4 linked regions of the Mus musculus genome follow. The protein of the gene in region 1 interacts with the protein of each later gene in a pairwise test. Links are inferred from orthologs where the notes say so. Each region holds a gene or a part of one and is shown on either strand. Other genes may lie near its edges.

Region 1 (6,223 bases):
GCAGCTGATGGGCTTCTACCTCCAGCCTGTGTTTCTGCTTCCTCAGAGATGTGATCTCCACCTCCTTGCGGGCCAACTGCTCAGCATAAAGAAAGAAGGTGGGCTCGTTGGCTGCAGCAAGCTGCAGGGCCTGGGTCAAGCTATCTGAGGAGGCTGTGTCGGCTGGGTCCCCAAGACCTCCACCACCCACTCCTCCCACGGGGCTTCTGCGTCCTGGCAACCCAGAGGACAAGGCCACAGAACGTAGTTGCTCCAGCTCCAAGTCCTTCTCCGCGAGCACAGCCAGGGCCCGGTCCCGCTGCTTGTGTAGCTCCTCCTCCAGTTTCAGTGTGCGGTCCCTGAAGTCCAGCTGGCTGCGCTCCAGTTCCTGCCGATGGAGCTGCTGCAGCCGGGCCAGTTCCTGCTTCCAGTCCTCAGCCTCCTGCTGGTGCTGGCTTTCCAGCTCCTCACAGGACAGCCGCAGGGAGATATACTTGTCCTTCAGCTCTGCGAGCTGCTCCTGTGCTGCCTCCAGCTCCTTCCCCAGGCTCCCATCTTTGGTGTTCTTGCTTTTGAGCACAACTTGGGCTCGCATCTTATACCGCTCAAACTCTTCCTTCAGCTGCTTCAGCTCCTGTTGGTAGTAGAGCGCGGTAGCCTTTTCCCCGTCAGCAGCCTCGGAGTTGGCCATTATCTCAGGGTCGCAGAGCTTCTCCACATCCAGGGTCACCTGGCTTTTCCTAGCTGCAACCTGTAGTAGCTTCTTGAGCTTCTCCATCTTGTCCTTCAAGACATTGATATCCAGACTGGATTCGTCGCCATGGATGTCAAGGGAGGACCGGCTAGAGGCTGCGAGGGCCAGTGTCTTGTTCTCCAGGTCCAGCTGCAGAAGTCGCTCCTTCAGCTTCTGGATGGCCAGCTGGTCTTTCTGCTTGGCTTTCTCGTAGGTGCCCAGCAGTTCAGATACCTCAGAGATCTGGCTCTCCAGGGCTGCTACTCTCTGCTCTTCTACCTGAGACTGCTGGCGGAGCTGGTCCTCTGCAAGGGCTGTCTGCAAAGCAAAGAACAGGTGACAAGGCATCCAGGAAAGTCACAAAACCCCTAGAGTCAACTGGGTGTGGGGGAGGAGACAGAGAAGTGAACAGGGCTTGGAATAACCCAGAACAAGTGGGAACTGGGGATTTTTAACTGAAGTGCCCTTTCTACCATAGTTTTCCATTCTTCATTAAGCTTGAATACAAAGTATGTTTCTGTTAGCCAAATCATTTAAAGAAACCGTGTAACATTCTTTCCCTTTCCCAACATGCCTGTAAATTCAAACCCAACCTAGATCCCTCTCTCTACTGAAAGGGAACACTATAAAACAGTTGAGGCAAACCTCACCTGAGCGTATACACAAGGCATTTCTTCTGGGGAAAATCCCCTTTGCTTCCTCCAGTCACCTTACCTAGAAGCACACACTTCTCAGGATACACACAAGCTTTCCCTACACAGCTGTCACTGTATCACCTCAAGCAGCACAGCTGGTAAGATGCCAACACCCAAGGCCTAGATAGAGCTATCTGGCTTGAACCCAGAAATACTCAGGAACTCTTCATCCTGTTAGAAGGACACCACACAAAGCCACACTTCACGGGACTCACTGATGCAATTTTTTCACTTGGCATCAAATATCACTATGCATGTTGGGAATGTGGAACCAGACCAAAGTCCCAGTACTCACACTAACAACTCACGCTATCTCACCAGGCATCCCTTGACTAAAACAAGACCCTGCCTTAAGTGGGGAGAGGGGTGCCCTTAATCCTAGCACTTGGTATGGAAAAGCAGGCAAATCCCTGTGAGTTCAAGGGCAGACTGGGTTACATGGTAAGACCCTGCCTCATGAAAACACACACAGAGAAACAAACACACACACACACACACACACACACACACATAGGGATGCATTACAGTTATCTAATGACCAGAAGAGAAAAATAATAATTTCCTATGTAAGCTAAAATGACTATTTGAAGGATATGAGAATAATTACCTTCCTCATTTCTTGCTGCAATTGGGCCTGGAAATGGCTTTTAAGACGGGCAGCCTCTTGCTGAAGCTCCTGCAGCCGGGGGTCTGGTCGGTTCTTCTCATCTCGAATGGTTTGCAGCTCACCTTTCAGCTCCTCTACCTCTCGGGTCAGCTGCTTGGTCTGCAGTTCAAACCCTTCGACCTGATCAGCGGCATATGCCCGCCCTGCCAAGGCTTCTCTGGTCTCTTCTAAGCGAAGTTCCAGGTCCTGGCGCTGGGTCCTCTCCTCCTGCAAGAGCTTCTGAAGCTCGCGCAGCATCAAGGCATGGTCACTCTGCTCCTGGGCACGATCGTGCTGCTGTGTAATGAGGCGGGCTTTGGTTTCTGCTATCTGCTCTTGCAGCACCTTCAAGTCTCCCTCCAGGCGACCCCGCTCTTCCTCTGCCTTTTTATTGGCATCCTCTAAGTCCTGCTTCATCTTCTTCTTATCCGCCAGGTAAGACGCCTCCATACGGGACTTTTCCTGAGTGACTGTCGCCAAGGAGCTAGTCAAAGTGGCCAACTGAGTCTTCAGCTGATGCACTCTTTTGTCCATCTCACTACCGGCAGATGGCCCATCCCCACTGCTACTACTAACGCCACTCTCTGACCCACTGGCCTCTTCAGACTTTGGGGGAAGTGGTCCACGGGCCGCTCTGTCATCTTCAACCCCAAATTCACCCTTGACACTTGTAAGACTGGCTGCGGTATCCAAGCTAGTGGCAGTTCCGGTGCTGTCCTCACTGTGAGTGGAGCACCGGTCATCCACAGAATCAGGAAACGTGAGACCTGGAGGCTGCACACCTGAGAGGCCTACATCCGCCTCGTGGGATACCGACAGTACCTTGATGCTGGCCTCCAGGGCTTCTTTCTCCTTCAGCAGGCTTTTATAGGCACGCACCACATCCTTGAGTCTTGCCTGGTACTGGAGAAGCTGCTTTTTCTGTGTCTCGATGGTCTCCAAGAGATCCTTCTTACTTGGGCCGCCCCCGAAATTCATCCCAAACTTCTCCATGGGGGTTCTGGCGTGGACCGCTCCACGTCAACGTTCTTGCAGCCCTGGGCAGAGCCACAGGGACAGCTAAAAGTGAAGCAGAGAGAACCGTCTGGCTGCAGGCAATACACCCGGTCCGTCCAGCGGTCCGGGCGGGATGAGGGGCCGCGGTGGCCAGGCAAAAGCACTGCAGGAGCCAGGCCGAAGGTGGGAGCCAGTTCCAACCTGGAGGCGGAGTGACGCTGACCTAGCAGGAGCAGTCAGCCTAGGCTCTCCAGTACAGGCCCTGAGCCTGTCCCGCCCTAGCCGCTCCTGTGGCCACCGCAACCTAGACCCGCCTCCCTCCGCCCACGATAAGCCCAGGGTTTACACTAAGCCGGGTTCCATCACGATTTCCCAACAACTGGAACAGCACCGCTTCCGGGTCTCCTGGAAGTGACGGCAGCAAAACGCCACAGACCCCGCCCCGCCGTGGGCGTGAGATGGGTGGGGCTTCCGCACCGTGTCTGCTGGTGGCCTGGAGAGGGAGTAACCCGTAGGTAAGTCTAGAGCAAGCACCTGAGCAGTGGTTTGGAGATGCCTAACTTTGCCCTCAAGCTACCACCAGTGAGCGACAGGGGGCGACGTCGCACTGCATTTGCCCCAAAAACATAGATGAAAGACGCATCAAACTATTTGGGGCAATGTCCAACATTTGGGGCAACAGTTAGGACTCATACTAGGAAAACGAGGCCGGTACCTGGTTAACGTAAAGCATAATAGCTCCCTCCCTTAGTTCTGATTAGTAAAAGGGGCATTATATAGCCATAAGGCCCATCTTGCATACCAGCATATGCTGGGGTCAGGGCTGTGTCACAAGAGTTACACTTACGGGAACATAGAGTAAAATGTACAGAGGGGTAACATGTCCAATGTCACTCAGCTAGGAAGTTTAGGAGTCCTATCTCAGTCTGCCTCTCAACATACTACATGCTATGCCAGATAGCACTACTGAAGAAGCATGGCCTTGTCCCAAGAAACTCCTAACAGCAAGGACACAGAGATTCAAACAGGTAGCTCCTGCCTTCACACTAGTGTGTCGGGGCATTGCAGAAGTGGTATAAAGGAGATGAGGCACCTGCCAGGACAGAGACTCTTAGGGGAAATGATTTGAAGTTTGAGAGATGAGTAGACTGCCAAGCTCAATGCAGATGTGGGAAACCAGCATGGAGGAAAGTGGAAAGGTGTATAGGGACGTCAGGCATCAGTGAGCCTAACTTGCCCAGGAAGCTTATGGTGTGGGAGAAGGGTGGCTACTGATGAGGCTGGAACAAAGGACCCAACTTAAAGGCATTTAGATTTTACCTTAGGTGACAAGACATGAAAAGATTTTCATCTCAAGAGCACACCATCAAGTCTCCTTTTTCTTTTCCATCAAGACTCTTGTGGGGACTGTAAGACGACTCAGCAGTAAAGGCACTTTCCACCCAGGCCCAATGATCTGACCTGAGTTCTATCACCAGGGCCCACACGGTGGAAAGAGAGAACATATTCCCACAGGTTGTCCTCTGAGAGCTACACCTCCACACATGAACACGAAATAAAAGTGGGGAGGGAGCCAGGCGTGGTGGCGCACGCCTTTAATCCCAGCACTTGGGAGGCAGAGGCAGGTGGATTTCTGAGTTCGAGGCGAGCCGGGTCTACAAAGTGAATTCCAGGACAACCAGGGCTATACAGAGAAACCCTGTCTCGAAAAAAAAAAAAAAAAAAGGGTGGGGAGGAGCTAGAAACAAAATAAGATTCCTGTGACATTATGAAGATACCAAGCCTGTGAGAGGGGTGCGGGGAGGGAAAGAGATGAAATAAGAGTGACAACGGGTTTTAAGAAAATATTTCTGTAATAAAAATCTACTCAAGATGCCAAGGCAGCCGTCACATCTCCGTGAGTTCGAGACTAGGCTGGTCTACATAGCAAGTTCCAGACCACCCAAGGCTACATAGTGGACATAGTGTTTCAAAACAAAAGACAATGAGCTACTTTGAGAATCTTTTAAATGTACTTTTCGACTCTATCAAAGTCTTCTCAGGAATGCAAGTTTACCACTTAAGAGTAAAGCAAAGTCCTGCGGTCACCGGAGACCCAGAACAAGTCCCCTTCCAAGCCCTGGTCCCCAGGCAGGCTGCCAGGCCTCCCTAGACTTCAGTTCTTCCGCAAACGCGCCTGGGGGGCGGGGCCGGGGCGGACCCGGAGGGGCGGGGCCACGTGACGTCGGGCGGACCCGGACGCGCGGAGGTGGCGGCGGCGGCGGCGGCGGCGCCTCCTCCTTCTGCTGTTGCGCCCCATCCCCCCGCGGCCGGCCGGTTCCAGCCCTCGCCCCGCGTCCCCTGCCCGCGCCCCCGCCCCGGGCCCCGCCATGGGCCTCACGGTGTCCGCGCTCTTTTCGCGGATCTTCGGGAAGAAGCAGATGCGGATCCTTATGGGTGAGGCAGATCGAGCGCGCGGCCCGCTTGGGGCGCCGGCCCCGCCGCAGCCCTCCCGCCCCCGCGTCCCTCTAGCCCCGCTCACCTGGTACCCTGACCCCGAGACACCCCACCGCCAAAGCCTCTGGGGGCCGCGCTCCCGTGCAAACCAGGATCTGCAGTGTCGGCCCTGGGCCTGAAACCCGGAGCTGGGGCCTGGGTGGGGTGACGCTTCCTCCGCCCCAGCCCGGCTGCTAAGAAGGGAGGATTCCGCCCTTGGAAACGACTTTTCAAAGGAACGCGGCCTTCCTCCCAGGTCCCCTACCTCCCTAGCCCCTCTCGCCCCTCGGGCACTTGAGGGGCAGGAGTTGGCACTCGCCACCCAGACTGCCCTCAAGGCCCGGAAGGTGGAGAAGAGCGCGCACCTGGAGGCCCTCCTGCTCTCCGCCCCCATCACCATCAGCTGGCCAGGCCTCTCCCTGTCCCTGGGCTCTAGGGGGCTCCCTCGCTCCCGTCTCCATTCTTTGCCCCCCCCCCCCCCCTTCTCCGTTGCAGTTGGCTTGGATGCGGCTGGCAAGACTACCATCCTGTACAAACTGAAGTTGGGGGAGATTGTCACCACCATCCCCACTATAGGTGAGTCCAGGACAAGGAGCGGGAAGCAGGAATGTCGCTTTGAGCCTTGTCGGGGTCTGCTCCCACTTCTGCCTAGGCCCTTATCTGTCCCTGACCCTGACACCAGATACAGCTACTTGAGAA
Region 2 (6,310 bases), on another chromosome or scaffold:
CAAATAAGATGCTTAGCCAACAGCTCAGTGCTTACTTTCTAGGGCCCCTTTCTAGGGAGCATACACCCTCAGTCACATGGTCACCTAGAGGATGCAAGCAGAAATCCTGTACCTTTCCTGGTATAAGGCCTCCTCTTAGCTGCCGAGAAGGAAAAGATGGAGTGCTTGCCAACCTATGGTCCGATAAAAAAACACCGGTTGTTACATTCAAGTCAATGGAGGGGTCCAGCAAAGGGAAGCCTACCCCAACTAAGGCATCCCAAGTTTAAATATTTAAAAATAGGCCAGTTTAAAAATTTGGTAATCTGGACTTGGGCGAGCTGCTGCCCCACCCCCCATGCTTCCTGTGGCTTCTGCTGTGGCCTGGACCATCCACAACTGCCTGGTCCCCTGTGAGTCCAGGGAGCTACAGAGAGTGGAGCAGGACTGCTACTAGAGGTCTTGGGGACTCAGGGCCAGCCACCAGGACTCCAGCCTGGCCTCGAGTGTTCTTGCTTGAGGGGTAGGGAGGGCTTAGTTCAAGGTGCATCTGGAGCTGGTTAGGTTCCCTGTTCTTAAAGGACTAGGCGAGAGGTCCAGCGGTCTGCTCTGCAATTCCCCAAACCTGAGCTGGTCTATTTCTGAACATGTCACTGGGTACTGGTTTGAACATGTACCTGCCACCCACCGTGGCCAAGATCTCCAGCCCATCCCATAGACTGCCTGGGTAGGTGCACTTGGGTCTCATTGCAGAGACTTAACTACTTACAGCCTAGCTTCTGTGCGTAACAAGGGTGAGCCCAAAGGCCTGCTGCAGAAGTGGGAGGCTGCTGTATCATCCTACCCACACCCAGGCCCCACCTTGTTCCCTGCCCCCAACACACTCCTCCTAGAGCAGGTCCTCCACCCAGCCTGCCAGCCATTTTACATCCCATCTTTGTTGTACCTGTCTCCCTTAGCAGGGAAGTTTCACAAAAACTAAGCTGCTCATCTTGTGTTCAGTTTGCATCCGATAGTTCCCAGTACAAGGTGAGCAATCACCAGTGGTAGGGAAACTGAAGGCCGTTCTCTGCCAGCTAATAGGCGCCCAGAACTAACAGCTTCAGTCTGGGCTGGCTAAACGGGAGCAAGCAGTACTTCCAGCCTTTTGTCATACCTGACATTGTCAAGGTTTCTACAGCTTCCTCCACTCTTGGCCAGACTACGGGTGGATTCCATAGTTTTAGGAATCCTAGATTAGCAAACCCAATGGACTACATTCATCCCAACAGCTAACATTCAGGTGAGTCTACTGGCATTGGGAAGGCTGAAAGATCCCTCTTAACCCTGCAGGCTTTAACAGTTTCCAGATTTAAGAGGTAAAGATGCAGGTAGCCCAGGACCCTGGAGCTGGAAGCCTAGGTTCCCTTCCCAGCTTCCTGCCTACATTGCTCATTTTCACCTCTGTAGACAGTACCTGCCACTGTTTACTATCACCCCAGCCCTTCCACCAGGTGGAAACAGTCCAGCCATCTGTGTCAGAGGGAATATGAGCTCTATCCCTTAAGCCTGAGAAAAACCTAATCCTCTGTGTGCTCAAGGCGGGTACCTCATCTAGGTACTTACATGGCAGCTATCTGGCACAAAGCCAGTATGAACAGGTGGAATTCAGGCTGTTCCTTTCATTAACCCAGAGCTCCCTCATCTTCACCGTCTCAAACAGCTCAGCTCAGCCCTGGGATATACCCAGGTAGTTATTGTATCTAACCCAGGAACGTCTGCAGTTAAGTCTATTACAAAGAATGACACTGAAAACCCACATAGGTACTTTCACTACAAAATAATTTATTACAGCAAACACAGCAACACAAGACTATGTACAAGCACAAAGCACCTGACTACCCTATTACGGAACTCTCTTCTTCCCCCTTGCCTTACGGACCTCTTCTATCAGGTCTTTCAGATACTGGATCTCCTTGGCCAGAGAATCTGCCTTCTCTTTCAGAGCCTCATTCTTTTTTTCTAGCTCCTTACACTCGCCAGTGAGGGCCTCCTGCTCAGCCCGCTTCTTCTGGCGGTACCTAGTGGCTGCTGTCTTGTTTTGCTCCATCTTTTTCAGCTTCTTATCCAATTTCTCAGTCTTCACTTTAGCTGTCAAACTAACTCCAGGTGGGTCATAAGGTTTGGGCCGAGGAGACCCACGGGAACCACCTGGAGAAGGCAGATTGTCTGGTGGGGCCCTGGAGGTGGAGGGGCTATGCTGGGGAGAGCCCAGGTAGGACTCTGGGCTCATACAGATGCCACTGTCATTGTCAGAGGGAGTGTCTTCCTCCTTTACACATGGAGGGATTAGAGTAATGTAAGCAGCAGAGTCAGGCTTCCTGTCTCCTTCAGAGATATCAACTTCACTGCCTAGCTCTAAACTAAAGGAATGCTCTGGAGTGGAAGACAGAACCCCTGGGGAACAGGGGAAAGGCTGCAAGAATGTAAAGGGGGCAACCTGGTCGACTTTTATTAAACTTTCTGGGAGATGGCCAATTGGGTTCACTGTCTGAGGGGGCTCCTTATTAGTCTCTTGGACTAGAGGGGCAAAAAGATCACATGTGTCATCCAACGTGGTCAAGAGCTCATCTGGCATGGTTTCCAGGTCATCCATTCGAAACAGAGCATCGAAGTCAAACTCTTTCAGATCCATTTTCTCCAACATCCAATCTGTCCCGGAAAAGGCATCCTCTGGGAAAAGAAATTCAGGTGTGAACGGTTCATGTCATATTCGGGAGGCAGAAAGCCATTAGAACACCAGATCCATATGAAAAGGGCACACCAGGACAGCCGTCCTACTCACCCTTGCCGGTGTCTGAGGCACTGGCCAAGCCATCATCCATAGCCGGCCATTCCGAGGAGCCCGCCTTGTCGCTGGAGAACCCATGAGGTTTCAAGTGCTTGGCCACCTCCAGATAGTCATCTAAGAGACCTAGGCTTTCTTCAGCCCCCAAACCCGACTGGTCGAAGGGGGACATCAAGTCCCCCGCCAACACTTCGCTGTTCAGGAAGCTCATCTCGGTCATGTTGTGGGGCTTTGCTGGATTCGAGGAATGTGCTTAACTCGAAGGTATCTTTGTCCGTTACAGCAACACTGCTGCTGGATTTCGTGAAGAGCCTGGATGGGGACCCAAAAGCAAGTCCAGTCATCTTTCTATCTAAGATGCCGGATGGCCAAATCCCAGAAGCGTCTACAGGGAGAGCACGCGGGCCCAAGGCCATTGTGTAAGCCTCCCCGGCCGCCAGCTCGGGTTGCACAAGATGGAGGCTTAGCTTTGCTTCACCGGCCACCCAGAGGAAGCAGCTTGTCCTCGCGTCCTAATACGGCCAAGGCCGCCGCGCCCCGCCCCCGTGACTCACACCCCCGCCCCACCGCCATCTTGGGCATCGCCACGTTCGCAGGATGACACGGGGACCCCGGTGAGCCCGAGATGATTAAGCTAAGACAGGACGAAGGGGCAGCAGTAGCGCTTTAGACACTCCTCCGCCCAGCTCTGCCCGGGAGCGCCGGCGTCGCAGGCAACGCAAACAAGGCCGACGCGTCCGGCCGCTTGTAAAACCGCGTGTGCCGGCCACCGCGCCCGGGCCGCACCCAACCACAGCGAGGCCCCCGCCCTCCGCGGCCGGCCCCATACTCACGCCATGGCTTAGGCCGGTGGGGGTTGCCGCTGCAGAGCCTGGTGCTGCTGCCGCCGCTGCAAAGGCCAACGCTGCCGCAGGCACTGCTGCCTCTAATACGCCATGGTGGCCGCAAGCCCTGCGGGAGGGGAAGAGGAAAGGGACACCCGAGCACACAACTTAAACCGGCAGACAGCAAGCAGAAATGGCGGCGGCACGCCCTAAACCCGCCCTTTATAGCCTCGGCCAGGGACGCAGCACACCGCGTATCCTCCCACTGTGGTCACGTGATCCTACCGCAGCGCCACCAAACCGCCTCTCACTGACGCCCTCGCCCGCCCCAACCCTTCTCCGCTGTGCTCGGGGGGTAACTGTGGCGTTAGAGATCGTCCTAAAGGCCCCATGAGAGAAAAGTGCACTACTTTATAGGTTGACGACCAGCCGCGGTCTGGTTCCGGAGCGCGGAGGGATCGCTCGTTGACGAATTTCCGGTGTCTTACAAGGCGGGGTGGGACACCTAGCCAAAGCTCTGACGGTCAAAGCCGAAGCTGCCAGGTTATCACGCGAGACGCCGTCGGAGCGCGCGTCGAGCTGATTGGCCCAGGCGTGGCGAGTCACCTAAACCTCAAGTTCCTATTGGCTCTGCACCTGGGCGCTCTAGGATCAGGGGTCTGCGTGGAAAGGGAGGAGCCACCAGAGGTTCCGGGCGCCAGACTGTCACACCTGCCATCTCTTGTCAGATGTGATCCATGTGTATTTGCTCTCTCCGGCATCGCTCCGCACCGAGCAAACAGCTTCCAGGCGTGACCTTTGGGCTGGAAGCCATCTTTTCATGTATTTGTTGTTTCCAGAACCGAGTGGGCAGGCTTCAGGCATGTGGAGAGACCCTTCTGAGTTAGCTGGTCCAAACCTTCAGCTTCCTGTCAGTCCTGGGACAGGGACGGCACTTGGAGGCAGGGCGTTCGTGTTGGGGTCTTCTTGGGAGATATTCCGGTTCCTCCAGTTCAGCGATTTCCCCTGAACCGGGGAAACATGCCTAACCTCAGGTCTAACCTCCTATGCCCATCCTCCCATCATAGAGGCCCTCACTGCCGGTTTGTATAGGGTCAGTTCCCTTAAGATCAGGTTTATTCAGTTGGCTCTCAAGCCTTAACTTCCAGGTATCACCTTCCCAAGAAGTCATCCTGATGAGTGAGCCTGCCGCCTAAGTGATCGGGAGCCCCAGGTACTGGTCAAGGCCTCACCATAAAGGATGCTGTTTTGAGAGTGCTGAGAGGCTCTTTCCAACTCCAGCCTGGAAATCTTAAAAAGAGTTTCCACTTCTGTTTAAGTGACTCACACAAATACCACTCAACTGGCACAGTGCCTGCCACTTACTGCTCAGTGATTATTTGCAAGCCTTGTACAACCCAACCCTAGCGCTCGGGTACCATAGTTCAAGGTCGTCCTTGATTATATGATTGATTGCTATTTATTAATTCGAACCTAACTCTCCAGTCCCTATATCCCTAACTCCATCCTCCTTCCTCAGAGGAGCCTTTATTATTGTTTACTGAGACGGAACCAACCATAAAACACGAGGCCTACATAATGAGATGTTTTTATACCCAAAGAAGTCACAAGTGCATGTGCACACATACAGAAGTTACCTAGTCTTTCCATGCAAAAGCAACAAAAGGGTAACTATGTCCTCTCTTTGCTCTGGAAACCAAAACAGCAGCCACACTGCTACATTAAGTGGACATCCCTTACAAGTTTCTGTCCCCTAAGCATAATGTACCCTGCAAACCATGGTTTTTAACCTATGCTGAGTTCCTAACTCTATGATGTATGCCCACCCCTTGCTTTGCTAAACTCCTGAACCTGTGATACATGACTGCCTTTTGCTATACAAAAACGTGCCTCCCCAGAAACCTTCCACGTGGTGTAAGCTTGCACTTCTTTTTCTGGCCTCCTTTCTAACAGCCAATTATCCTAGCAGCTGTTTTCTATCACATGTATCTACCCTGCAGGCAGCCTGGAGTCCCCCCACTCTTCTGTTAGGGTGCTAACAACCAATTATCCCAACAGCTGTTTTCTATCAACCCTAATGCTTTCCCATAAGAGTCTCCAAACAGCCAGTGAGGGGCTGTTTGGCTGGCCAAAGCTTGCTTAACCAGTCATGGAAATTTTTTCTCAGCTCTAACAAGGCTCCTGACCATACAGGTTGGCCATACAGAAGTTTAAAATTATTGACACTAGAGATCCCAGGAGAATGTCTGGTGGCTTCTTTTCCCCCGTCGTATTCCTAGCACCGATGTAAGAATATACCTGATACCACATAGACACGTCAGAGTTGTTGGAAAGGAGATTTTTATTTTCTTCTTCCCATGCTGCAGAAGACGCTGATTTCACCAGTTCAATTTCTCTCCTTCAAGGAGAAGGAGGATAAAGGTTCTCTGGGCCTTAGTAGCTAAGCTGCTCCTATATGGCCCCAGCCAAGACAGGACACAAAGATTAGTGACTGATTCCATTCTACCAGCAGGCAAGTGACTGGAAGGCAAGTTGTGGACTTGGCCTCAGAGACCAAGGGTTTAAAAGACTACAAGGTGATCAAAATAAAAGTTAACACCCACATCACTCCACCTGCAGTTAAACATAGAACCTGCATGCTGATATTCTGGACACTCAGTCTCAGGGGCTTGTAACCTCC
Region 3 (5,032 bases), on another chromosome or scaffold:
CAGTATTTTAAAAACTTAGAAGTCTGACTTTATGTGCTGTGTAAATCTCACATGGACACTTTACCAAAGAGCACTCTGCATGAGTTAGTCTCAGTGCCAGCAAGTAAAGCCTTGCTTCTCTGCTCACCCGAGTCCGGTGCTGGTGGGGACAGTTGACTCCTGGGGTCTGTTTTACTCTGTACAAGAGCCATATGTAATGTACTGTAACAAACGAGCTTCTTACCACTTGGTCTTTTAATTAAATGACTTCAAACTTTGTCCTTGTCCACAGTTGTCTAAAGTACCCTCCCCACCCCACCCCCAAAATGTTAACCTGGAATTATCCAATCCAATTTAAGCCCACCTGTCTTTGACACCTAAAATCAAACTGTAAAAAGCATTGTTCCGTAACTCATTGTTTGAACTGTAGTCCTGGTGTTGATTTTGGAATTAGTACATCACAGATCTCCTCTTTCCTACTTTTTTTTTTTTTTTGCTTATATATTTTACCTGGATATTGAGCCCAGAGCCTCACACTTGCCAGGCAAATGCTATACTATTGAATATACCCCAGCATACCCAGTATTTACAAGAATTGGTACCAAATAATTTGGTTGGTGTAAACTTAGCTATAAAAATTTTTTTGAGGAGGTATTTATGTTCCCAGCATTCAAGTAAGATTTCTGTAACAGTTCACTTTCCTCACTAGTCTGCTTTCTTCCCTGAAACCTTTGACCATCTTGGTATGACATCAGAGGGATGCTGATCATACGGTCACCCAAACGGCAGAGAAATATGTCACTCCAAAACCTTGCAATGTTTTCTGTGACCTCCAAGGAATCTTGAGTGTGGAATGTGCACACTAAAAGTGCTTATGTGGAGTTCAACTGCATTCCTGGTGTTCACACACACCCCAGTATGACATCAAGGAAAGCACTCCTTTCTTACGAAGCGTGGGATCCGCGCTGGCGTCTTGTACAGGATACAAGGGAGCTCTGCTGCAAGTGAACAAGAAACTGAAGCAGAATCAAAACCCAAAGCCTACAGTTGGAATCCAGCTGGAGACAGGTAGGAGTTACTATCCTCCAATTACTATTCTAACTAGGAGTTGGAGCCATCATCATTCAGATGACAGTTATACAGTTTACTGTCCTGAAATCCAAGGAATTAACACAAGTGGAACAGTTGGAAGTGGTGGTTGAGCCATGTCACCAGAGCAGTTTCTTACCTTCCTGGGGACTATGGACTCACGGTTGTCAGGTCATTGTTCCTGCAAACCTCATCAGAAAACTGCACACACAAATTTATATACAATTTCAGGTGACTCATGAAGCTTAAAAATCTATGTTTCTAACTAGAAAATTCACCAAGTGATAGGGCCTTCTGGTGCCCAAGTAACAAACAATTCATGCTATTCAACTTAGTAGATGGCTAGTATGTTCCCCAGCCTGTCTGAACCATTCAGGAACACTGAGCTTGGTCTCTGTAAGCACAAGGATGACAAGCATGCCTCAGATATTCTCGTTCCTCAATCACGATACTAACATGCACTTTTTGAGTTTGTATGACAAATAAAGCCTTTGTTAGCTGGCTGTTAAGCAAAGTTTAAAAACTGCTTTATTGATTTGAAGTACCAAATTTATAAAGATTATAACATGTCGATCTACTCAAAGTTAAATAATTTACATTGGCATGATAGATGTGTGTATTCAATTCACATACTGTATGCTAAAAGCATGAGCTTCTCTTAAGTCAAGATTAAACAGTGCTTAACATGATTACAAATAGATACTGTCTAAAAACTGTAAACGTGTACATTTTACAATACCCACGTTCTCATTCTTTATTCCAAAATTTCATTTACTTCAGTAACAACTGTTTATATAGTTTTTCTGAAGACATTGTGACATATTTCATGGATAACTGACTTAAGTGAATTTATGATTGATCAATGTCTAAAATACCAAAGCAAAACAAAGTCTTCTTGAAAACAGTACATTTAATGGTCATCTGGAGAAGGGAGAGTAGTGGTCACTTCATGCTGTGGGAAGATTTAAAAAACAAGACTTCAAGCACTGACTATGGGGACTATCTCATATTCTGAATTTTCAAACCCAATTTACATATATACCTAGTTTAAAAAACACACCCATGAGTAAAAAACTGGTCATTTGTTTACAAAGTGCAGTGAATGAGTACAGCAAATTCAAAGACAGTGAGGCTTCTCTGCCGCAGAACTCCATCTCCATCAGTTGTGCTACATAGCACAATAGACTGTAATGAAGCTTGGCCCCTAACACCTGCCAGTAATGGCAGCTTAGCAAGCATGAGACCTGGAAAGTCTGCTCATGTCCAGTACGTACATCGTTTATGACCAGTGAGGTACATCATTTATGACCTGGTGTCAGTAATCCCAACACAGATTACTGCTCTGCAGTGAATTCTGTATGGTCTGCATGTCCTTCAGTAACTGAAGATTTTTCCTGCTTTTTTCTCCAGGTCTCTGTTTGGCCAGATCCTTCTTACTTGCGGTCCTTGGGACTCCAGATGAACGACCGCTGCTGTTCCCTTCTTCATCAAGAGTCTTTTTGTTAGCTTTTAATTCCTTCTTCTGCTTATCTATGTTTTGTTTCTCCAGCTGACCAAATAATCAAAACAGGGAAAAAATGAATTCAATAAAAACATTTTCTTTTAGCTTTGTTTTTGATACGAGGTCTTGCTATGTTCAGTCTTAAACTCTTGATTCTTCTGCCTCAACTTCTTAAGTACACCATTGACTTAAATAATCTTCCTCTAACACTCAAGTGATAGATTCTAGGTGGGTTTTTTTAAAAGCACATAGATCTGCAGAAGTTATAAATCACATATGTAAAATACACAGCCAGGTAAATAAGTGCTATATAAATACTGTAAAAGTCTCCTTAAGGAGAGAGGGACAGGCTTCGAATTCTCCCTGCTTGACCAGACTGTAAACTCTAACAGCTACTAGTTAGTTGTCAGTCCAGCACCAACAACCACACAGGATCTCCTTGGGCAGGTTATTTCATTTACTGAGATAGTCACAGTTACTTCACCTATAAAATGGGTTTTAAGGAAATGAAGTGAGATGGCATTCTCAATATACTTGATTCTGTGCCAGTGAAATAGTTCTTCCACATCACACAGCATTTGGAAGCTTGAGAGGGATTTTTTACTTCTAAAACCTACTTCAGAGTTGTCCACTTCTACCCAGACTCCAATTGCTGTCAACCCAGGAGCTGGACTCTACCCCTGTTCTACCCCTATTTCACAGCAATCTCAAATACAGTCTGTTTCTCTAGATGAGAACACCAAGTAGGCTTATTAAATGTGAGTAACCCTTTTCCTTTTAGTCATTATTTAGTATGAGCAAACATACTACTTTTTTTTACATATTTAATCTGACTTTGAAAATTAAAAATTCTAGCTGTATTTTTAGACAATTTAGTCAAACTAAACCACTTAGTTTTGTTCATAAAGCCAAGGATATTAAATATAGTCAGTAAAGACACATCTTATATGAAATATAAGAACTAACACTTCTTAACACAGACTGTTAGGAAAATCTCCAGAAACAGCTTAAGCATCATCAATTAATATACATGAAGGGGGAAAAAACGACAGAAGGGCAGGAGTCACCTGGGCTTGGTATTTTCGAACTTTAGTTATCTGATTGGCCTTCGCTTCCATTCTTCCCACTAATGCCTCCAATTCACACTCCAGGTTGTCTTTTAGTTCCACAGTTGGTGATTCCTGTATGAGTTTAGTAAGCTGCTGATGATCACTGCATACAAACCACAAGGGAGACTACCTTCAGTTCCTCATTTTTAAGTTATGTCCTTTATATTTCACTATGGGATTCACCACTCTTAAAAAATAACTCCTTTTAACAAACTGCTGCTCTATACATGGGTGGCTCATAACCACCTGTGACTTCAGCTCCAGGGGCTCTGATGCCCTCTCCTGGCCTCCTTGGGGACCTGCACACATGTGATATATACATAAATAAAAACAAAGGTTTACAAAAATGAAGATACATGCAAGTATTCTTAATCCCAGACAAATTTGGGTCCATCCAGGGTTGCAGGCTAATATAAACTTTTATCTGCTTCTCCCATCAGCATCACTTATAAAGTAAATCCTCTGGGACACTGGCTTTCAAACGCTGTCCTAACTCATTAGTTATATTTGGATAACCCTCAATACTACTGAGCTTTTACCTAAGCCTTGGCATTTGACATCTAACAAAATAGAAAGGGAGGCTTGTTTAACTCCCAGCCAGTGGGCTGGTGTAATGGCTATGTTCAACATCAGTGAATAAAATTAGGATTAAAAATCCAAGCTGCTAGAAAAAAATGAGATTTTAGAACTAAATGTAATTTTAAATTCAAAAAGTCAAAACTCACAAGCTCATTTGCCCAAATTCATCCTGTAAAGTCTGCAAGACATCCGAAAGTTCTTCATTAACACTGCTGGAAGGAGGCACCACTGACTTCTTACTCTTACTAACTCGTGAGCAAGCTTGCTTTGCCAAGGGAACACTGTTAACAACTCGATCATTGCACAGGGCTTTACTGTGGTGTTTCATCAGATGCAAGACATGCTGAACATTGGCTACCACGGCATGGCTGGGACTGGTGGACTAAAGAGAAAAGTAAATCAAGCAAATAATGTCCTTGATTGCCAGGTTCTAGTTTGTAACCCGAGTAAGAGTTCATCTCTAAATCCTAAGGCATAAATGTACTATACTGTGGCAAATTGGCAACTAGCCATCCACCTGTATCAAACACTTGGCTGATGTACTAACGTCTTCAGTTAGTAATGAACACCCTGCTGGGGATGTGGCTGAGTTGGCAGGTACTTAAGGAGCATGTAAGAGTAAGAGGCCCTTCTTTGGTCCCCAGCATCATATAAATTGTTGCACACCTGTAATTCCAGCACTTAAGAAGGCAGGAGGACCAGAAATTATTTATCCTGTGCTATAGTGGAGTTCAAGACCACATCTAAAATCAAACAACCCAACTGACCTTCTTGC
Region 4 (6,361 bases), on another chromosome or scaffold:
GAAAGGTCACTGAACTCGTCTTTTACCCGATCATCCGAGGTTGACGAGGGAACCTGCGTCTCACCCAGTTGCCCTGGGAAACAAAGAACAGGCTCTGGTTACCAACAGTGAGCACTTTCCTGTAAGGAGGCAATGCTGTCCCTCCCTGTCTAAGGACACACCTTCCTTACTGGGGCTGGGAGGCCTGTGGCCTCAACCTCCTCTGTTCTCACTCCTGCTCAGATTCAGGCCATTGTGAGAACGGCCCACTCTGCATAGTTTACAACATGTTAAAAGATACTGTATACAAACACTTTATACAGCCAGGCATTCTAAAGTCTGTGGCGTCACCCTAGGGCCTCGCCTAGAGCCCACCTATAGCTGAACCACAGGGGTACTTACACTTTTAATGTTTAAAAAAAATTTTTAAGCCAGGCGTGGTGGCGCATGCCTTTAATCTCAGCACTCGGGAGGCAGAGGCAGGCGAATTTCTGAGTTCGAGGCCAGCCTGGTCTACAAAGTGAGTTCCAAGACACCCACGACTATACAGAGAAATCCTGTCTCGGGAAAGAAAAAGAATTTATGTGTGTGACTATTTCTCCTATGCACATGCCTGGTGCTGGCAGAGGCCAGATGAGGCCTTGGATCATGAACTGGAGTTATGTGGTGATTACTCACCATGTGTGTCTTTTGCAAGGGCAGCAAGTGTTCTTAACTGCTGAGCCTTATCTTCAATCCCGCTTTTTTTTTTTTTTTTTTTTTTTTTGAGACAGGGTCTCTCTATGTACCCTTGGTTCTGTCCTGGAACTCTCTACGTAGACCTAGCTGACTGGTCTCAAACTCACAGAAGTTGGCCTGCCTGCCTTTGCCTCCCCAAGAGCTGGGGTTAAAGGTGTGCACCACTATGCTTGGTACCCGTCCAGAGTTTTTAAAGAGCCCCAGTGTGGACTGCAGGTGAAAACTGCAGTGCCCATAACTGGCCATGAAGCACACAGAGGCAAGAGGCAGGCAGGAGGCTGCTCCTAGCTCTCCCAACACGATGCTTAGGAACAGCTGCATCCAACCCACAGCATGTGTGGGTGGGGTCTGAGCTCCACAGAAGGGCCAGTCAGCAGAAGAGCTACCACACTGGCCTACACACTATGGTAAAGTAGCAGCCTCTTTGTCTGCCTCCATGTCCTGCGGACAATAACCCCATTCTTCTCTCTCCCTCAGTCCCCTCAGCCTACAGGAACAACCAGTCCCCTGTGGTCTAAGGACAGACTTAGAGGAAGACTGAATGCCAGATGAGCACCATTGCAGAAACTGGTGAATTAGAGGCCTACTGGTGAAGAGACAGAAAGTCAGACAGGCTGGTCGGGCCACCCTACACTTAGGTTCTAGGGGAAGGCACCGAGGGTGGATCCTCCTCTCCTGCCACCAGCTTCCTATGCTGTACCGTGCTCTACAGGCACACAGTACAGAATCCACTGTCTGCTGATGACAGCCTTGGTCAGAACACTGAGTCCTGTTCCAGCATAAGCCACAGGTGCTGCTTACCTGGGGCCTCACTGGGAGCCAAGTGTGGCTGCGTACAGGGGCCTAGCCCAGGTCCCACAGAGTCTCCATGTGAGTGCAGCAGGGCCACATCCACACTGGGGAGTGTCTTGGTCTCAGATCCAACTTGGGTTTCTCTGGCCTGGCAGAGCCGAGAGGCAGCTCCCGTGGGGTTGGACTCTGAGTTCTGGGCCAGCCGTGGTGACAGGTCCTTGCCCCACGCCCATTTCACTGCTAATGCACTGTCCAAAAAGAGAGCTCTGCAGCTGGAGGCTGTGTCCATGGTGAAGTCGTGGCCCTGGTCGCAGCCCCACACAGCCTGGATGATGCCGCAGTACTCAGAGGACAGTGTCCTCTGGAGGCTGGGCAGAGACCCACAGCTGACTGCATGCTCATGCACCCAGCCCACCAAGCCGTGCAGACACCGAGGGCTGGAGGCGATCAGGTCAGCTGAGGAGAATCAACAGAGATGTCAGGCTCACCGTGGCCAGCGCTAGGCCCTCCCTGGGACGCCCACCCTGGCACAGATAGCACTCACCCACACATGCTCCCTCCTCTGCCACTGTGGTAGGCTGAACACCAACCCTGCAAAGCATCAGTGGCCACAGTTTAGGAACCTCTCAAGGTCACAAACGTCTTCCACAGGGCCCCTCTGTCAGCTGCCCTGGTTCCCTCTCTCCTAAGTGATAGCTCTTCACCCTCAGATCTCTGCAAACATTGCCACCACAGCACCCCATTGTAACACCATGAGCTTTTGTATGCTAGCTTTTGTCCACCCCAAGTCACTGCCTTAAGTCAACACCTAGAACACAGGGTGACGAACCCCTAAAAGTCCCTAGAAATCCAACAAGGGCCTACTTTGTACAAGGCTTCCTCTGGCCAGCTGGGGAGACGTTGACTCTCTGTAAGAAGGTCCTGAGAAGGCTGTGGCACTGATAGAATTGGGTGTAGCAGTTCTTGCAGACAGACTGAGGCAGGGCTGGGTCCTGGTGCACAGCGACACCCAGCAGACGCTGGAAGTCCCTAATGAAGACACGCTCTCCTGGGGACAGTCTTTCTGAAGTCTCCCCAGGCACTCTGTCAGAGATGCTTCGGAGGCTCCGTGAGGAAAACTTCCCATGGCAGAGTCGACAATGCCCCATAGCGAGAGTCCGGCCTGCTCCTGCGCAGAGAAGCAAATGTGACATAAGCGAGGTACTCGCAGTGCAAGGGCCACTCTTCCCCCTGGCCTCCGAACACTGCAAGCAGAGAAGTGCCCGCACCAGGCTTCCTAAACACAAGAGTAGCGGGACTGGGACTCGGGAGCTGGCCTTCCTCACTGAACACTCAATATTCAAGGAACCCCAGATGCCTACAACGAAGATGAAACTTAACATCCCTATTCTGAAAATGTGTCCAAGCCGTGCCTCAAGAAACTAACTCACTGTTCATCCCTGTCCATCTATAGGTGCCCTGCCTGCAGCATGTGCATGATGCCACCCAACTGCCCCTAGTGGGAGTAAAGGACAGCTTACATAGGAAAGCCATTCTCAGATGACTGAAGAACACCACACTAATGTGATGCACATGGAGGCTGTTAACCTAACTAGCTGCTGCTTGTTCACAAACTCGCAGCCGCACAAGGAACAAGCAGTTAGTTCACTTAACTCAGTTCCCAACGCAGGTTAGGTTATAGGCCTGTTTTAACCATCAAGAAACTGGGGTTCAGAAAAAGTTAAGCAATTACCCTAAAAGTCCATAGCACGAAGAGCAAACTTGAAGCCACACCTGTGTGCCTTCAAATCTTACGCACTAAATAGCAGCGACACAGAGCTGTCTGGGCGGCAGAGGAAAGGGCCTCTATCGGCAGTTCTCCAGAGGGCCCGCGTTCTCCAGAACCAGGAGGCCTGGTTTGCTCTCATTATCACTAAGCTCGCACCGGGGCCCGAGGACGCCTGGAACCCACCAGCTTCGTCTGTACCGTCGTCGCCTGTGTCCCCGCAGGAGCGTGTCATCGAGCCCCAGCTGAGCTGAGCAGCCGCCCCGTCAGCGCTCGTTCCGCCGCTGCGAGAAGGGCGACCCCGAGTCCGACCGCTTCCACAGCCGCCGCCCGAACCCCCGCGCTGCCGAGCTATTCCGGGAGACAGGAAGCGGCCGAGGCGGTCCCGCTTCATGGTGGTAGGCGACACTCGCTCCCTGCTCCGCGCTGCTCGGTGTGGCTCGGCCCCCTGACTTCTTGCTAGAGCGGACTTAACTTGGCACACTCCGTGCCGTTCCGCTACTCTCCGCCGCGCTGCCCCGCTCCGCTCGGCTCCCCGAGATCGGAGCCGGAGGAAGCGAGGGCTGCAAGGAAGCGAGGAGCGGTCTGGGGAGCCACAGCGGCCGCGGCGGGGTCAGGAGCCCGGAGTTCTTCGGGTCTCTCGGAACTCGCGACAGGCCCTTAAAGGAGGGGCAGCCCGGAGGGTGAACGGCCGCGGACTGCCGCCCGGGCGGTGGCGCACAACAGAAACCCTTCAGAGCAGTAGCTCTCCCCGCCAGCCTTCCCGTCCGCGCTCGCAGCAAGTTGGCCGGAGGAGGTGACAAGAGCCACTGACCCCTCCGGTCCCCTAAACCCAAGTCTGCGCGGCGGGGCGGGGCGCGGCGGGGCGGGGCAAGGCCGGCGGAAGTGTGTCCGGGTCCCCTTCCGGCGGTGCGCAGCTCCTGCGCCTCCCTCAGCTCCGCGCTCCGCGTTCCGGTCTGGAGGCGTCCGCCCCGTCCCGCCCCTGCCGCCGCGGCCTCCCGCTCCCCGCCCCCGCCCAGCGCCATGGCCGCTGCGGCCGGGGACGGCGGGGCGAAGCCACTGCAGAGCGCCATGAAACTGGCCAACAAGGCCATCGAGCTAGACACCGGCAACCGGCCCCGGGTGAGGCTGGGAGGGTCGCGGAAGCAGCTCTGGGAGGCCCTTTGCCCCTGGTGGGTGGGCGAGGGCGGGCGTGTAGAGGGATTCGGCGCTCCCGATGCGCGCGGCGGCGGCGGCGGCTCTGGGACCGCGCCCGGAGACCCGGGGCCCGGAGGCTAAGGGCGCCGAGCTCTGCGGGGACCTGGAACAGCTCAGCTCGCACTGGGCCTAGATTTACCTGTGTGATGAGGCGGTGTGACATAAGGAGGAGGTTCTGTTTGCAAAGGACCTACATCCAAGATGTAGATGACAGATGTGTGTGTGTGTGTGTGTGTGTGTGTGTGTGTGTGTATTCTTGACAGAGTCTGTGTAGAGTTAATCTAGAAAAGACCCGACTGTTGGCTCATTCAGGATGCTGCTGCTGTCTGCAGTTGCCTTCAAAGGTCATTTGTAAAGAAACCCAGGCACAAAAGGGGTGTGGCCTGTCACTGAGAATAACTGCTAATTAAAAGGATGGCAACAAGGTAGAAAAGCCGGCTGGGCCACCCAGAGCTTCCATAGGACAGGACGAATCACTGGTTGTCCAGTGCCCCAACTTAGTTTTCTAGGGCACCCTCACAAGACCAGAATCCTACCTGAAACCCATTTTATCTGAAGTGCTGAGCTAATTAAAGTTGGGTAATTTTGACAACGAGTAAAACGAAACACATACAGACCAGAGTGCGTTCTGTCTTGAGCTGTCACAGAGCCCAGAGCAGAGGGGTCACACAGCTGAAACCTGCAGCTCGGTGCTCTGGGCTCCTTTGAGCAGAGGGAATTATTCTGGAGTCTGTAGAATGTTATTTCTTCACCTAAGCCAAAACTTGAGATTGACAGATGAGCCCTTATCCTCTCCTCAGATTTCAGGAAGTGCTTTTCATGAGACATGGAAAGACTGCTAGTCTTTGAGTTGCACAGGAAGAGAACTTTGTCACACAGAGTGGAAACCCTTATTGCTGCTCAGGCAGCTCTGTGGAGCCTCCTGACTGAAGCTCAGCTCCTTCATGTGGTGGATAGTAATGAGAGGAGAGGTGTGTCTGTCTGGGAACTCCTCAGCACAGTGTTGAAGGAAGGAATTCTTTGATTTTTTGTTCTGTTTGATATCTTTTTCCCTTCAAGTCTAGACAGTATAGATACCATCTGTGTCCTAGCTGGACCATCCATCACTGAAGCCTAGAAGGAAGTCTTGTCAAAAAACAAGCAGGCACTGTTGGTCCTGCAGTTGTATCTGGGCATTCACCAGGCAGGCAGGATGCAGGCCTGACCACTGCTATTCTCTCCCCTGCATCTAGGAAGCGTACGTGGAATACCTGCGCAGCATCCACTACATCTCCCAGGTATTGCTCGAAGACGTGGAAAACACTACAGGTATGCCTTCAGACTTGCTACTCCTCTCATGATAGCAAAATGGTGCCCCCACCCACCCACCCATGCCCTTGCCCACCAGCTGGCACCGCCAAATGTTTTCAGATGAGGGCGGGGAACTGTCTCCTTTTCTGCCTTCTGAGGTTTTCCAGAGGTCTCCTGTCTCTTTCCAACCTGGTCCTTATCGTTAGCATATGATGTCATAGTGTGACATGCTGGCATTGAGGAGAAGTGGTCAGGATTAGGGGACGGATTGTGAATTGGGTCAAGACACTGCCTCAAGGTAGTTAAGAGTGAGATGCACAAAGTGGGGGCCTTGCCAGCAAAAGTACGTTTAAAAGGTCCTGGAGGAGGAAGTAGTTAAATTAGTGTTTTGTACATCTTGGACGGATGTGGAAGAGAATTCTGGGAACCTCCCAGAGCTCTACCCAGCATGGGGAGGAGCATAGAGCTTGGGTGTATTCTGAAAGAGAAGCCAACCAGACTTGCTGGGGTGGGTGGTGAGCTGCTAGCCACAGGGGGTGTTCCAAGCAGATGAGGGGCGACATCACATAAGGGGAGAAATGGTGAATCCCGGTGTGCTGC

Evidence for each region.
Region 2: the proteins of Gcc1 (region 1) and Atf4 interact in binary tests that used the Homo sapiens proteins (3 or more experiments, as listed by UniProt). The two-hybrid records come from large-scale screens. The link is inferred for Mus musculus from reciprocal best matches to the Homo sapiens genes GCC1 and ATF4.
Region 3: the proteins of Gcc1 (region 1) and Cep57 interact in binary tests that used the Homo sapiens proteins (3 or more experiments, as listed by UniProt). The two-hybrid records come from large-scale screens. The link is inferred for Mus musculus from reciprocal best matches to the Homo sapiens genes GCC1 and CEP57.
Region 4: the proteins of Gcc1 (region 1) and Zfp276 interact in binary tests that used the Homo sapiens proteins (3 or more experiments, as listed by UniProt). The two-hybrid records come from large-scale screens. The link is inferred for Mus musculus from reciprocal best matches to the Homo sapiens genes GCC1 and ZNF276.

The regions. Positions count from the first base shown.
Region 1 is NC_000072.6:28,418,271-28,424,493, forward strand, and holds the start of Gcc1 (GRIP and coiled-coil domain-containing protein 1), read right to left. Parts: upstream 3,455-6,223; 5' UTR 3,047-3,454; coding exon 2,015-3,046; intron 1,031-2,014; coding exon 1-1,030. Other genes in the region: Arf5 (ADP-ribosylation factor 5), read left to right, coding at 5,419-5,485, 6,020-6,100. UniProt on the Homo sapiens protein: Probably involved in maintaining Golgi structure.
Region 2 is NC_000081.6:80,253,015-80,259,324, reverse strand, and holds Atf4 (cyclic AMP-dependent transcription factor ATF-4), read right to left. Parts: upstream 4,142-6,310; 5' UTR 3,640-4,141; intron 3,119-3,639; 5' UTR 3,027-3,118; coding exon 2,804-3,026; intron 2,692-2,803; coding exon 1,865-2,691; 3' UTR 1,780-1,864; downstream 1-1,779. UniProt on the Homo sapiens protein: Transcription factor that binds the cAMP response element (CRE) (consensus: 5'-GTGACGT[AC][AG]-3') and displays two biological functions, as regulator of metabolic and redox processes under normal cellular conditions, and as master transcription factor during integrated stress response (ISR).
Region 3 is NC_000075.6:13,806,224-13,811,255, forward strand, and holds the end of Cep57 (centrosomal protein of 57 kDa), read right to left. Parts: intron 4,640-5,032; coding exon 4,404-4,639; intron 3,782-4,403; coding exon 3,637-3,781; intron 2,674-3,636; exon of another isoform or gene 2,618-2,673; coding exon 2,384-2,617; 3' UTR 1,565-2,383; downstream 1-1,564. UniProt on the Homo sapiens protein: Centrosomal protein which may be required for microtubule attachment to centrosomes. May act by forming ring-like structures around microtubules. Mediates nuclear translocation and mitogenic activity of the internalized growth factor FGF2, but that of FGF1.
Region 4 is NC_000074.6:123,252,023-123,258,383, reverse strand, and holds the start of Zfp276 (zinc finger protein 276), read right to left. Parts: upstream 4,190-6,361; 5' UTR 3,669-4,189; coding exon 3,461-3,668; exon of another isoform or gene 3,242-3,460; intron 2,678-3,241; coding exon 2,374-2,677; intron 2,101-2,373; coding exon 2,054-2,100; intron 1,966-2,053; coding exon 1,519-1,965; intron 74-1,518; coding exon 1-73. Other genes in the region: Vps9d1 (VPS9 domain-containing protein 1), read left to right, coding at 4,298-4,396, 5,704-5,779. UniProt on the Homo sapiens protein: May be involved in transcriptional regulation.